Caenorhabditis elegans: one gene and its partner. The protein of the gene in region 2 purifies or fractionates together with the protein of the main gene of each other region. This does not show direct contact. Each region holds a gene or a part of one and is shown on either strand. Other genes may lie near its edges.

What was found. Proteins that work in one complex are often made in the same cells at the same time.
Region 1: the proteins of C17G10.6 (region 2) and chl-1 fractionate together in Caenorhabditis elegans (co-fractionation; one large-scale study listed by BioGRID). This does not show direct contact.

Annotation. Positions count from the first base shown.
Region 1 is NC_003281.10:10,399,216-10,407,098, forward strand, and holds the start of chl-1 (ATP-dependent DNA helicase chl-1), read right to left. Parts: upstream 6,026-7,883; 5' UTR 6,022-6,025; coding exon 5,684-6,021; intron 5,623-5,683; coding exon 5,520-5,622; intron 5,055-5,519; coding exon 4,941-5,054; intron 4,148-4,940; coding exon 3,622-4,147; intron 2,834-3,621; coding exon 2,523-2,833; intron 2,216-2,522; coding exon 2,004-2,215; intron 1,598-2,003; coding exon 1,192-1,597; intron 1,035-1,191; coding exon 813-1,034; intron 340-812; coding exon 79-339; 3' UTR 1-78. Other genes in the region: hat-1 (Histone acetyltransferase type B catalytic subunit), read right to left, coding at 6,620-7,292, 7,372-7,431, 7,479-7,883. UniProt on the Caenorhabditis elegans protein: Required for normal cell proliferation and chromosome stability. Plays a role in DNA repair during replication.
Region 2 is NC_003280.10:5,599,382-5,604,993, forward strand, and holds C17G10.6 (ShKT domain-containing protein), read right to left. Parts: upstream 3,914-5,612; coding exon 3,805-3,913; intron 3,607-3,804; coding exon 3,330-3,606; intron 3,158-3,329; coding exon 3,077-3,157; intron 3,027-3,076; coding exon 2,961-3,026; intron 2,918-2,960; coding exon 2,677-2,917; intron 2,449-2,676; coding exon 2,350-2,448; intron 2,306-2,349; coding exon 1,616-2,305; coding exon of another isoform or gene 1,562-1,615; intron 1,125-1,561; exon of another isoform or gene 1,081-1,124; coding exon 813-1,080; exon of another isoform or gene 770-812; coding exon 549-769; 3' UTR 527-548; downstream 1-526.

The DNA of each region.
Region 1 (7,883 bases), on a different chromosome or scaffold from region 2:
ACACACAAGGAATGAGGAATCTTTAGAGCAACCGGGCAAAATAAAAAACACCAAAAAAATGAAGAAAAAATATTCTAATTATTTCTTAGAATTCGCTTCAAAAAAGCTCCTCGTCTTTCGAATAATCTCGCCAAATCCCAACTTGACTTGAGTGCGATCTCCAATCCACGTGGACAACTTTCTCCGAGTGGACTCCTTTGCGTAGCGGTCGTCGAAGAGATAGACGGCCGCGTAGTCTCGGCGGTGACGGATTGCTCGACCGATGGCTTGATTCACGGCGTGCATGCATAGAGATTCGTAGAGCAGGTTTCCACCGTTCGGCATTTGAGTGTCGAGGAACTGAAAAAAACATTTTGAAATTTTGAGTTATTGGGGGGAGGGTGGCCCTTTTGTGTTCTTGCGTGGTGGCCTAGGATCCGAGTAAAGTGTGGCCTACAATTTCCAAGGATTTAGCTCAATAGGTGGCCTAGAATTTGATTCACGTGATGGCCTAGATTCTGATTTCGTGGTCTAGAACTGTAGTCATTTGATGGCCTATGATTTGAGTGAAGTAGTGGCCTAGAGTTATAGTGATATGGTGGCCTAGAAATTCTGTAATGGGGTGGTCTAGAATTTCTTAATCTAGTGGGTGGCCTCGATATATAGTAATGGGTGGCCTAAAATTATAGTGATATGGTGGCCTAGAATTTAAAAATCAACTGGTGGTCTAAAATTCGCTGACCAAGGATTCCTGTAAATTGGTCTAGGATTTCCATTTTAGAAAAATTACGCTAAATCTGCTTTTCCATATTTTTAGAGTCCATCACTATTACCTTCATCCGTTCCCTCAACTCGACGCTGGTCTTATTCGGATACGGTAATCCGATAACAATGACCGCCCGTCCGAGCTCATCACAAAAATTTATTCCCTCGCTCATTTTACCGCCGACGACAGCAAATAGAATGGCTCCTTTCGATGTTTTTGCAGCTCGGCTGAATCGGTCCCAGACGTCTGATGTTGGTTGCCGGCTTTCTGTGAATACGGCCTTCTTTTCCTGAAAAAAAACAAAGACAATGCAAATGTGCTCTAGCGTACTTTTTGGATATTTATTGAGATTTGATGCAAAATTTGAATTTTTTCTTATTTTCGTTTTAACAAAAATATATTATTCTACGGTAAAATCCCAGGAAGGGTCTCGAAACGAAAACTACCTCGATCCGCTTCAAAATCCCAAATTCCTTCATCTTTTTCTGGAAATTGAACAAAAAGTCGTATGACGGCACAAAGATCACAACTCCATTCGGAATATGCGGAATCAGGGCCTGAATTGACGTGGCCAACGATCTCAACGTGGTATCGGCGCCACGTGTCTGATATGTGAGTTGGAATGGTTTTCCGTCGACAGTTCGTTCTACGGTTACCGCGAGCAGCTGGGAATCATCAATGACGTGGCAACACGAAAAACGACGGATTGAGTCGGCGCCGATCGATCCACGGGATAGGGTCTCCACGAGAAGCTGAGCTGGCTCCATTGTGCCACCGACGAGGATTGTGGCTCGGGCGGAAGTGACCACTTCGGAAAGACGATCCGCCGGATTTAGGAGCATGAATCGGAATCTGGAAGTTGAAAAGTTTTCGGATTTTCTGGAAAAAAAAATCGGTGGCCGAATTTTACTCAAATAAAATTAGCTGGCCGAACTTTCAGTATTAAAAAGCAGTGGCCGAGTTCTGCCCGAATAAAACTAGTGGCCTAGTTTTCACATTTTGGTAACGGAGTCAGTGGCCGAACTTTTCCTATTCTGAAAAAATTGGTGGCCGAAGTTTACTCAACATAAATATGCTTGCCTAGTTTTTTATGAGAAAAACTATTGATGACCGATTTTTCCAATGTGAGAAAAATAGTCTCAATAAATATCAGCACACTTTTGCGGGGAAGTCGATTTTCAAAAAAAAAAAGCAAAACCCAAAACTCGGCCACCGATTTGTTTTTCACGGTCACGTTCAAAAATCGTTGCTATCATACTTTGCTTCGGTGGCCGACTTTTCCACAATAATTCGGCCATCTTCGCATTTGTTGGTTAATGCGTCGATGAACGATTTCAGCGAAAAAAGTGGAGAAGGAACGGGTTTTGGCGGTGGAAGAGGCTCAGCTTCTGGCTCAGGCTCCGCTTCTTTTGCAGCCATGAGTTTCTGGATTCCGGTTAGTTTTGGCTTCTCATTTTCTTTCTTGATTTCCTGGAAAAGTTATTGGATTCTAGGTTTTAGGCTTCGGAATTTTCACGGTAAATCAATTTTTCCTGGATCTTCATTTTCAATTTTAATGGCTTTTTTTGAATACTTTTTAGAAAAAAATTATTGTAATACTTTAAAAAAATGATAGGTAATTCAAATTTTTATGAAAAAATTGATATTTTTCGTAAAAAATGAAAATTTCAGTTTGAATTTATGATACGTTTTAATTTTTTTTGAAAATTTGTTTCTGTTTCTGAGGTATTTTTCTTAATTTTTTAAAGTGAATTTTTCGATTTTTGGAATTAATTACTTCTTTCTGTAATCTCATGTAAAATCCATGAAATTTCTTGCACAAATCCGTCTTCTCCATATATTCGGCCAATTTGAACAGATTAATTTCTAGAATATTCAAATTTCGTGCCAACTGAGCCATCGTCATCACATCTTCTTTTGATTGGCTATTTAAGAAAATGAGCATTTTGCTGGTGAGTGATTCCAGTTGTTTCATGTAAAGTAGGTTATGAGCCAGAAGCTTCAGCTTGTAGTGAGCATTGTATTCTCGAATTAGACGCAGTGCGAGGGTTAGGGATTTCGTGGAAATTTCAGCAGAGTAGAGGGAACCTGAAAAAAATTCCTTTAAAATTGGAAATTTCCGGGAGGTTTTTTTTTTAAAAAAAAGGTTTGGAAATTTTTTTAAAGTGATTTTCAGGGAATTATTTAGGAAACAATTTAATTGAAAAATAACGATTTTTTAAATTGGAAAATAGTTTTTTCAGTGATTTTTAGAAATTTTTGTATATTGAAAAATTGTTTTTTTTTTGAAAATTTTTTGAATAAAATTAGCGATTTTCTGAAAAAAAAATATTTTGAAAATTGTGATTTTTTGAATTTTTTAAATTGAAAAATGTGCTTTTTTGAAATAAAATTTTTTTTTATTGAAAAGCAGATTTTTTTTTCGTTTTTTTTTTTTTGAAAAAAAAAAGAAAAATAGTGATTTCCGTATTTTTAAAAACTAAAAATTGAAATTATTCGTTTTTTGGAATAAATAAGGATTTTATTTCAATGTTTTTGAAATTTTTTTTGAAAAAAAAAACGTTTTTCAAGTCGAGTTCTGTAAAAAAAGTTAAATTTGAAAAAGATTTAATTCATTTAAAAAATTAATGAAAAACATTTATTTTTAGTTGAAAAGTAGAGTTTTTTGAATTTTTTTGAAATTTTTTGAACAAAAAACATTAAATGAAAAACTGTGATTTTTGTAAACATATAATTAAAAAATATGAAGAAAAAATTTTTGGAAGAAAATTGAAAAAAATTAAATTTTGATTATTTTTAAATTTGAAAAAAATTATTCTAACAATTTTTGAAGCCATTTTTCGAAACTTTTTCCAATTTCCGAAAAAAAAACGAACTAATAGTATTCAACACATTATGTGCCTCGTCGAGTACAATAACATTATCCTTTAATTCAATTCCCCATGCTTTTCGTGTTCCATCATGAAGCAAAACTTGATATGGAAGAAGAACAAGTTGACACTGTGGAACAGATTTTCTTGTAGCAAAATATGGGCATCCATTGGAAAGTTTTCCCTGTTTTGACACTTCAAGTGTACTTTTCAATTTGTTCGAGAGGACTCCATTCACTACATCTTCGATTTGTGTGGAATTGTAGAATTCGCATGAAGTCGCACAGGTTTTTGTCTTTTTCGTGGTTCCTTTCTCCAATTTCTGAACTTTTTCCTTTTCCGACATTCCGTTTTTTCGCAATTCCATACATTTTTCATTGATTAAATGATTTAATTTCAACTTTTTGACTTCTTCATTTACACATAATGTTCCTCGTGAGGCACATGTAACTATTCTGGGTTGAAATCTAGTTTTTGCGAGCTCCTCGGCAAGTTGCTCCAATTGAGAATGTGTTCGTGATGCGTAGAAAATCTGGAAAATTCAGAAAATTTCAAGACAGTTTGAATAAAAAATTATTGATTTTTCAGTTTTCAATTAAAAAAATTTTAATGCAGTTTTGAAAATTTACAAAAAAACCAAATTTTCATTTAAAAAAATTTGTTCGGTAAATTGAAAATTCTCCGACTTAATTTCGATTATTTTTTTCAGACAACTTTCATTAAAAAAAAAAAAGACGTATTACGGTAACACGAAACTCTGAGAATGCGTATTGGGCAACATATTTGACGCGCAAAATATCTCAAAGCGAAAACTACAGTAATCCTCTAAATTGCTGTTGTAGCTCCTGTGTCGATTTACAAAAACCTTTTATTTATTGATTTTTAAAAACGAAAAATTAAAGAAAATTGAGAGCCGTTGTAACTTTTTGAAAAGAAATTAATTTCAAAAATATTGCCCGTAAATCGACACAAGCGCTACAGTAGTCATCCAAAGGATTACTGTAGTTTTCGCGTCGGAATATTTTGCGCGTCAAATATGTTGCCCAATACGCATTCTAAGAATTTTTTGTTCCTGTAATAATATGACAGCTATATGCGACTTTTGAGATGAAAGTGCAATCGCGCTCCATAGCCAAATAAAAAATAAAAACGCTCTGCCCCCGAAACATGGGTCTCGTTAGGTATTGGCGGTAAAACCCAAGATTTTCCAATTTTTAATGATATACAGTTACTGTCACAAAAATGCTTGAAAAAGTTTGAATTGCACTTTCATTTGGCTATGGAGCGCGATTGCACTTTCCGAAATATTGAAATAAATTCTGTACTTTCAGACATTTCAGTGGCTTCTCCTCTTCTTCATCGACATCATCGAAAAAATCGGAATCCCGCTGTTTCTCACTTTTCTCGTCGTTATTGTATTCTTCCGATGGGGCGGCTTCCTGGAAATTTTATTTTGAATTTTGATATTTCTGTATTATTTCTATAATAGAAACTTCTAGAATAACATTTTCTTGAAAACCTGGCATATTCAATTTATGAAACTTCAAATTTGTAGCGACTACTGTGGCTGGGATCGTGGCGAGACCCACTCAGAAAACAGCGTGCGCCTTTAAAGTGAGGCATCAAGTGTCTATTCTATGTATTACTATGTAACTATTCTATTGTGTATCTATTCATATTGTGGAATCTATTCTATATCTATCTTGCTATATAATACTGTTAACATTTTTTCACATTTCTCAAAAAATTAGCAATACTGAAGGTTTGTATTTAAAAATTTGGAATTTTTGCGTATTTCAAGGTTTTTCCAGAAAAAAAAAGCCAGGTTCTAGTCAGAAATCTTGAAATTTTCCGAAAAAACGGTCAGCCACATGTGAATTTCCGGATAAAAGTTCAATTATTACATCTTGAGGTTCGAGAAACTGATCCGTATCCCTGGCCGGGGCTTTTCTCTTTCTGGAGACCTCGACCATTCCTCGCCGGGCTTGATCGATTCGTGACTGCAATCTGAATGATTTTTTTCATTTAAAAAAAAATTAAAAAAGAATAATTATTCAATTTCCAACACCTTTCCCGACTCTGAATTTGCTCCAAAATCTCCGTCTCTACGTCTTGAGCTCGCATTTTCTCACGAACTGCCGTCTCCCAATTGTCGGCGGTGGTGATTTTATCGCATTCCGTGATTTTCGTGTGAACCTCCCCGAGCCGTGTGCTCAAATCAGTCGAAATTCGTAGTTCTTCAGCTTCCAGCCACGTCATCGTCGAGCACAACACGCTGAGCGACTTTCCGGTGCCTGTTGGAGATTCGAAAATGCCAATTTTCCGTTGTTCAATGCATTGGCGGATTTCTCGCATCAAATTGAGTTGAATGTCGTATGGTTGAAATGGAAATGAGAATTCGTCCATTCTGCTGGGATAGAGTGAGAGATCATTTATTTCGGTGAGTTTTTTTTTTGTAATTGAAGAATAATATATAAGAAGATAAAAATATATTCGGGATTTTCAACTGGGAATTCGATTTTTAGCTGAGAGTTTAGAGAGCGGAAAAATTCATGAAACATTCACAATAAGTCAAATAGGACCCAAAGCGATTTTCACGCCAAAAATACGGTGCCTGGTCTCGCAACGAAACATGTTTGTTAAACGCGAAAATTTGTGCGCCTTTAAAGAGTACTGTAGCTTCAAACTTTTGCTATTGCGGATTTTCGTCGATTTTTCGTAGATCACAATCAAAACCCAAAAAAACTTTAACAAATGCTGGGAAAAACTATGAAAACCTGATAAAAATCGTTAAAGGCGCACACTTTTTCGCATTTATCATACATTTTTCTCTTCGAGACCGGATACCGTACTTTTGGCGCAAAATTTCGCGTATGGGTAATAACGGCAAGGGAATTTTGCAAATTTACAGCAAATTTAGACGAATTTCGTGGTAATTAGCTTTAAAAAAAATACAAAAATCCCACATGTAATTTCAAATTAAAATAAGATACAGATACAACGATTAAAAAATGCTTGGATGCTGCTCAATTCGATCAATAGTTTTTTGATAGGCCTCCATAAGCCGATCATAATTCTGTGAGAGCGTCGAGAACTTGGTTTCCTCATCCATTTGTCCACAGGCCGCTTGTCGAAGCTCATCGGGTGTCAACGCGAGATTCAGACGCTTCCAGTCCTGATCCGATTTCTTCATTGGTGCATACAACCGACGTTTCACATCGATTCTCTGCGCTTTCAGCTCTTCTTTATCCTTCTTATTTGTAGCACGATAACGCAAAATTTCATAGACTCGACGGGCTTGTTGTCTGGAAATCTTGAGCTTTTCCAGTGCGGCCTGACGCATTTTGTCCGAGTATCCCCTCTTGAGATTCTCCGGTGCAAATTCCCGCAGTGTCATGCAGTTGACACAATCCACATAGTCACGGAGGCTGACGAACTGATCTCCGGGAGACTCGACGGTTACGTCGAAAACTTCTGGAGAGGCACGAAGATCTCGCAGGAAAGATTCCATGAAACTGGCTCCAATTCCAGATTTTCTGTATTGAGGGAGCAATAGCATCTGTGCAATTCGTGGACGGATCCTGTCAATGTAGTTGTAGAATTTGAAGAGTGTCGCGTAGCCAGCCACGTTGGCCACAGTACTTCCATCTCCTTCACCGGTGTCGCAGCGTTCGTAGCTGGAAAATTGAAAAATATTTGAAATGCGTTCGATTTTTTGTAATTTCTGGAATTCGCCGCGAAATCTTCTCAACTTACATAAAATAGTGAAGCCAATTGTCTTCAGTGTTATCTGTCAGTGAGCAGCACTCGATGAAGCTGAAAAAAAAATTTTGTAGGAAAATCCTTATTTTTTAAGCACTCACAACATGCCGAGAGTCTGGATTCTTTCTAGGAAAAGGTTGAACTCTTCGGTTTGCTCGGCGACTTTGTAGACCTCGTAGCTCTTTCCTTTCAGCTCAAACTTGTGTACCATCTCACCGAAAGGCTTGAAATCCTTCTGTTTGATGAGCTTCTGCTGGAATTCTTCTTTTCCCGAAACCAGAACATTCGGACGAACGTCTGGATGAACCAGCTTATCAATGACGTCATCGGCCTCCAGTCCGTTTTCGTTTTTCGCTTTTGAGGAATAGCTCACGTTTATGTAGCTGTAGAGGGTTTGAGCTGTGTGATGGATGGTAACCTCGAGATCTTCGTAGCCGAAGATTGTCTCCTCATCTCCGAAATGCTGATAGACCATCTCTGGTTCGTAGCGTGGCGCAGTACTGATT
Region 2 (5,612 bases):
TTTAATGAACTCTAGTTCTACTAGTACCACACTTTTATATCATTTTGTGCCATTATTCTTAAGTATATATTGGTTTTTTTTTTCAGGTTTTTTCAAAACGTGTTTATTTTATGGGTTTGAGGCTACTAAAACATCATACAATAAAAAAGTTTTTAGAATGAAACGTTATGGGAGATATTTTTCAAAAAAATTATTTTTGGAATGCGCTTGAAATTCTTCAAGTTTCCACAGAAATGCTTTCCAAACTTTCTATATTCATCAAAGTTCTCCTCGTGGGGGAGGAGCATACCGACACAGAGAAGATAGCAATACGCGGAACTCGCAATAAGTCGGCTGCTTCACTTAAATGCTAGTCGGCAAGTGTATAGTTTTCTACCCGTGATGAAGAAATTAGATCCAACTCCCAGGCCAGTTGATACGTCTTCTGGTTCATGCAGATAAAGGCGAACGAACGGGTTTTGATAATTTTGGAAACCAATTAGCAACGATTGTAAACTTATTTATTATATAGAGGTCGGAAAGAAAAAATCATTATATGGCAGTTTCAGCTATTCTTCGGTATTTGACGAACTCGTTGTTGTGCTGATTGTCGATGAGCAGAGACAGGTTTTACGACACCATAAAAATTGTGTTGCTTGATTTGTATCACAGAATCCTGCAGATTTCCAAGCACCACATTTCATGGGGAACTCGTCGACTGCAGTTGCACAATCAACACCTGATTCTCCTGATTTGGAAGACTTTTGAAGTTTCTTCAAATCTTGACCAGCTGGAATTAATAAGTTTTGAATATTTAGTTCTTGGTAATTTACCATGTAATTCATCAAGAATCTGCCCTCGATTTCTCTTACCCTGATCGATTTTCTCTTTCGACGTAAGGAAGTCTAAACTCAAATGATTTTTTCTTCCTTTCTTTCCTTTTTTGCTCTTCTTCTTTCCTTTTCTTTTGTTATTTTTCTTTGATTTTTTCTTCTTTTTCTTTTGTTTTTTCTCTTCCGAGTAATCATCTCCATCTTCATTTTCTTCGTAGTTCTCCCGTTCTTGCTTACAATCCATACTCTCAAAGTTATGATAATCATCCTGAAATGATTTTTTGAAAAAATAAAACTGTATTTAATTTTAAAATGATAGAGAATGCTATCTCAAGGGCAACACATTTTATTCACCAGAAGTAAAATTTTGCGATTTTTGTGGCAAAACTACGGTACCTGGTCTCAACACGACAATTTTGTTTTGAGTTCAATATGGTGTGCGTCTTTAAAGATTACTGTAATTTTGAATTCTTGTTTCTGCGGAATTTTCAACGAGCTTTCATAGTTTTTCGATCGAAAATATTCATTTATTTGAAATTTTTGAACGCGACTAACTGCACACCTTTTCTCACTTAACCCAAATTTGTCATGTCAAGACTGTGTACCGTAACTGTGGGATGAAAATCGCAAAATTCAGGTTGGGGATAAAATGTTGTATGATTTTTTTCTAAACCTTTTGGAGCAGTTTTACGGGCTCCAAAATAGTAAATAATGCTCTAAAAATATCGGATCAATTTCTATTTCTAAATCTAAGTGCTCGAATTGAACACATTTTTTGAAAGAGGTTTTGAAATTGAACGTACTCCTATTTTTCCGGGATAATACGGGTATGATGGAGGCATTGTGGTTGTTGTAGTAACTGTTGGAAACGTGTAGCCATATGCATCTGGATGGGGATATGGTACTTGATCGGGTGGAATATTATAGTTCTGTGGAAGTGGTTGTGGTGGTTGATAATGTTCTCTTTGTGGTGGTGGACAATTGATTTTCTTCCTTTTTTGTTTCTTTTTATATCCATTCTCTTCATTATTTCCATCATCATCTTCATCATTATCGTCTTCCTCTTCATCTTCATTATTCTTTTTTCGACCATTCTTTCTTCCTTTCTTTTTCTTCCTTGAATTCTCATCATCCTCATTATCATCTTCTTCCTCTTCATCTTCATCTTCATAATCTTCTTCATGATCATCTGTATTTCCATCAATTGCTTTTGGTATTTTTACAATTCCATCAACTCTTTCCAAATCTCCATTATCCTCATCATCGTCCTCATCTTCATCTTCATCATCATCCTTATTCTTCTTTTTTCCTTTTTTCCCTTTCTTTCCCTTCTTTCCTTTTTTGTGATCATCTTCGTCATCGTCATTTTTCTTTCCTTTTTTCTTTTTTGATTTTGACTTTTTACCATGCTTCGCACCGTCATCATCCTCATCTTCATCCTCATCAGTCTTATCTTGACCGGTTGTTTTTCCTTTTCCTTCTGTTCTTATTCTCTGCAATAATATTCGTGAACCATCCCAAATTTACAATAACTCACATGAATACCACCACCCTTTTTCAGTTCTGCCAAATCGATTTCACCAGCTTTTGTACCTTCACCGTCACCACCGCCTGCTCCAGGTTGCACTTTAGTGCCCTGGAATACATGAAGTGGAAGTTATGGATTTTACATAGTAAAACGAGTTTGAATCTTAAAGCTATGGCAGTTATGGGGGACGTTCCCTCTAGCCTCTCTCATTTTTTGATACATTTCCCCTAAACGGAAGTGGAATCCCCAAAACTTAAGCAAAAATATGTGATTTGAGAAAAAATTTTCATATTGAACAAAAGTTTCCAAAACTGCTTAAAATTTTAATACACTTACTTCACCATCCGATGAAGCAAATAACCCTCCTCCATCTCTTCCAGAACGTGTTTTCGTTGTTACTTTAACACCTTCCGAATTTTCAGTTCCTTCTAAATCTGGTGCATCGTGACGGGTACCTTCTGTGTCGGGTGCACCATGTTTTGTTCCTTCTGAGTCAACCACCGCATGCCTTGTGCCCTCATCTCCAGCAACAAATCCCCCGCCGCCATCACCATTTTCTACAAGATCCTCGTGTTTTCTGTAACAATTGAAGTATGGTATAAAAACACTTTTTCACTTACCCCATTGGCACACGGACGGGCGCCTGAGGAGTTGGAGGTCGTCTGCCTCGGCCACCAGTAGGTCGTCTGTAATATGGAATATCCCGTTTAGAATTCCTCTGAAACTGGAAACAAACCTTCCTCGGTGCCTTGGTGGAGGAGGAGTGGTTTGTTCATCATAATCCACTCCATGATCATGATCGCTGTGAGCTGGATCGCTGAATCTTAAGAAATATTTCAAAAACAATCCAATTTACTAACTTTCCAGTAGCTAAAAAAGTTGCAGCAGAGGTATGAGAAGGAAAGAAAATGTAACTTTCTTACACTCTTATAAATTAGCCAAACATTAAAAAATGGCGATGCTTAGCAGACAATACACATTGAACTCACTTTTGATTCCAAGGAGCTTTATCGTGTCCTCCATGTCGTGGTCGGTGCCTACCTCGTACCCATGGAGGAGTTGTTGTTTTGATTTTTGGATCTTTTGTAGTTGTCGAATATCCACGCAATCTAGCAGAAGGCAACTGATCCCATATCTTGAAGTTTCCTTCCGATTGATGCTTTACGTTGTGTACCAATGAATTTACTGCTGCTAATGGCATACCTTCAGCTCTTGCATACATATGTTGATAGAATGGATCCTGGTCTCGTGGATCTTGTGTGAGAACTGAAACAATTATTTGGAATTTATGAACACTTAAAAACAATTATTGACTACTACTGTAATTCAACTTTAATTAAAACATGAAGAACTGAGTTGTTTGCGCGAAGCAGGCGAAGGTTGCCTTTTAACGTTCTGTATTTATAATTAAATGATTAAGTGCTTTTAAATTAACATTATGGATAAAAACGCTTAAAAACTCACCAATATTTCCAACATTTGACATATCTTCCAGCTGACTTCTAACTCTAGTGAGACCGGAAATAATTGTTAAAATAATCAACCATTTTTGAAAATTAATTTGATTTTTCATCACTGATAGAATATATTCCGAAACGCGGAAATCAGTTCATCTGGTAACAATTAAGAGGGTGGATTTGTCTGAAAACCGTTTCACTTTTTCAAGAAAAAAAGTAGTCGAGAAAATGAGGGAAAACTGATGATTTTTCGTCAAGAACAGAGTTAAAGAATGTAGACAAAGTTACTAGTAAATGTCAAAAGTGGGTCTCAATTTGGAACCCGTTCAATCCATTATTAGACCATTAGTCAGCGGGGAGAGATGTATGTGTGAAACCGAACACAACAAAATACAAAAGAGGAAGGAAGAAGTAGAATTGAGACAAGTTATTATTTGGAATACAAGACTTGCAAAAAAAGCACTCATCGTTTGCTTGTTCATCTAATTACTCTAATGTATTACTTACTTTTTTGTGTGGGGATTTAGATTTAAATGTGACATTTTACAGAGGTTAAGTTTCTCCCTATTATATGTCAAATGTAATATTTACTTGTCTGAATTTTTTAAACAAGAATTGGGGTGTTCTGGAATTATCAGTGAAGTTCATCATTTCAGGTAATACATTTACCCATAATAACCACATTTTTTACTTAATTATCTGTCAGCTGACGACCTCATCAGGAAGTCTAATCAGATAAACTTCTCAAAACATGATACATAATCTTTAATCTATCGAATTTTGATTGAAGATGATAAGCACTTTACTATTTTAAATATTTTCTGTACTTCAAATTTTACTATTTATTTTTGAAAGGAAAGGATCAAGTGACTTTTTAAATAACAAGTTTTGAAAAATAACATTCGAAACTAATTTTTCAAATTATTGAAAACAACAACCACTAAAAAAACTGATTACTTCTTAAAAGTTGTATTTTTGATAGTGAAGTACGTGTATTCTTTGAAAAATACTTTTCGATATGCCACCCAATAATTTCAAAAAAATTATTTTTAAAAAAGCAAGATATTGGAATTTCTTTTCCAAAAATTAGTAACACAGTATGAAGTTCCGGATTTCAAAGATTACTTACTGTTCAACAGTAGACAGCTGTAGAATATACATAACATTTCTGAAAAAAATTATTCAAAAATTTGCGGAAATGTTTGGTTTTAAATGAAACCAGGTTAATCCCACCAAATTTTTATACCTTTCAAAAGTTGTTATGTGAAAACATTCAAGTTGCAAGTCCAAAAATAATCAAGAGTGCACCACCTACCCTAACTGTTTTGCAAAAAAATTTCATATTACCTCTAAATTATTCAGATCGTATTTTTCGTCTTGCACGTAATTGTTCCTTGTCCATCTTTTTCTAATTTAGCCTAATGGGGTAGAAATTCGTAGTTTCCAAGTTTTTTCGTACCCATTTTACAATGGCTGACATCATTTTTGTTTTTTTCTTATCAAAGGGGAATTCTAAATGTACTGTAGGTGCTTCGACGGCAAGACACACTTTTTGACTTTTAGACATTTAATGACACAATTAGATACGACATTGAAAATCTGATTCTTGAGATGTTATAATTGTTAAGTGAATAAATAGGCATGGGCTTCGGAAACCAGTTATCAAATAAGAGAAATTAATCTGAAACCTGAAAAGCTACAATGGAAGCCCAACTTCTAAGGGGTTTCAGAGGCTTCAGATATTTTTTTTATTTTATGATAAACTAGTGTTGAAATAGGATTCAGTATATCAACAAATGTTGGCTGTTCATTTAA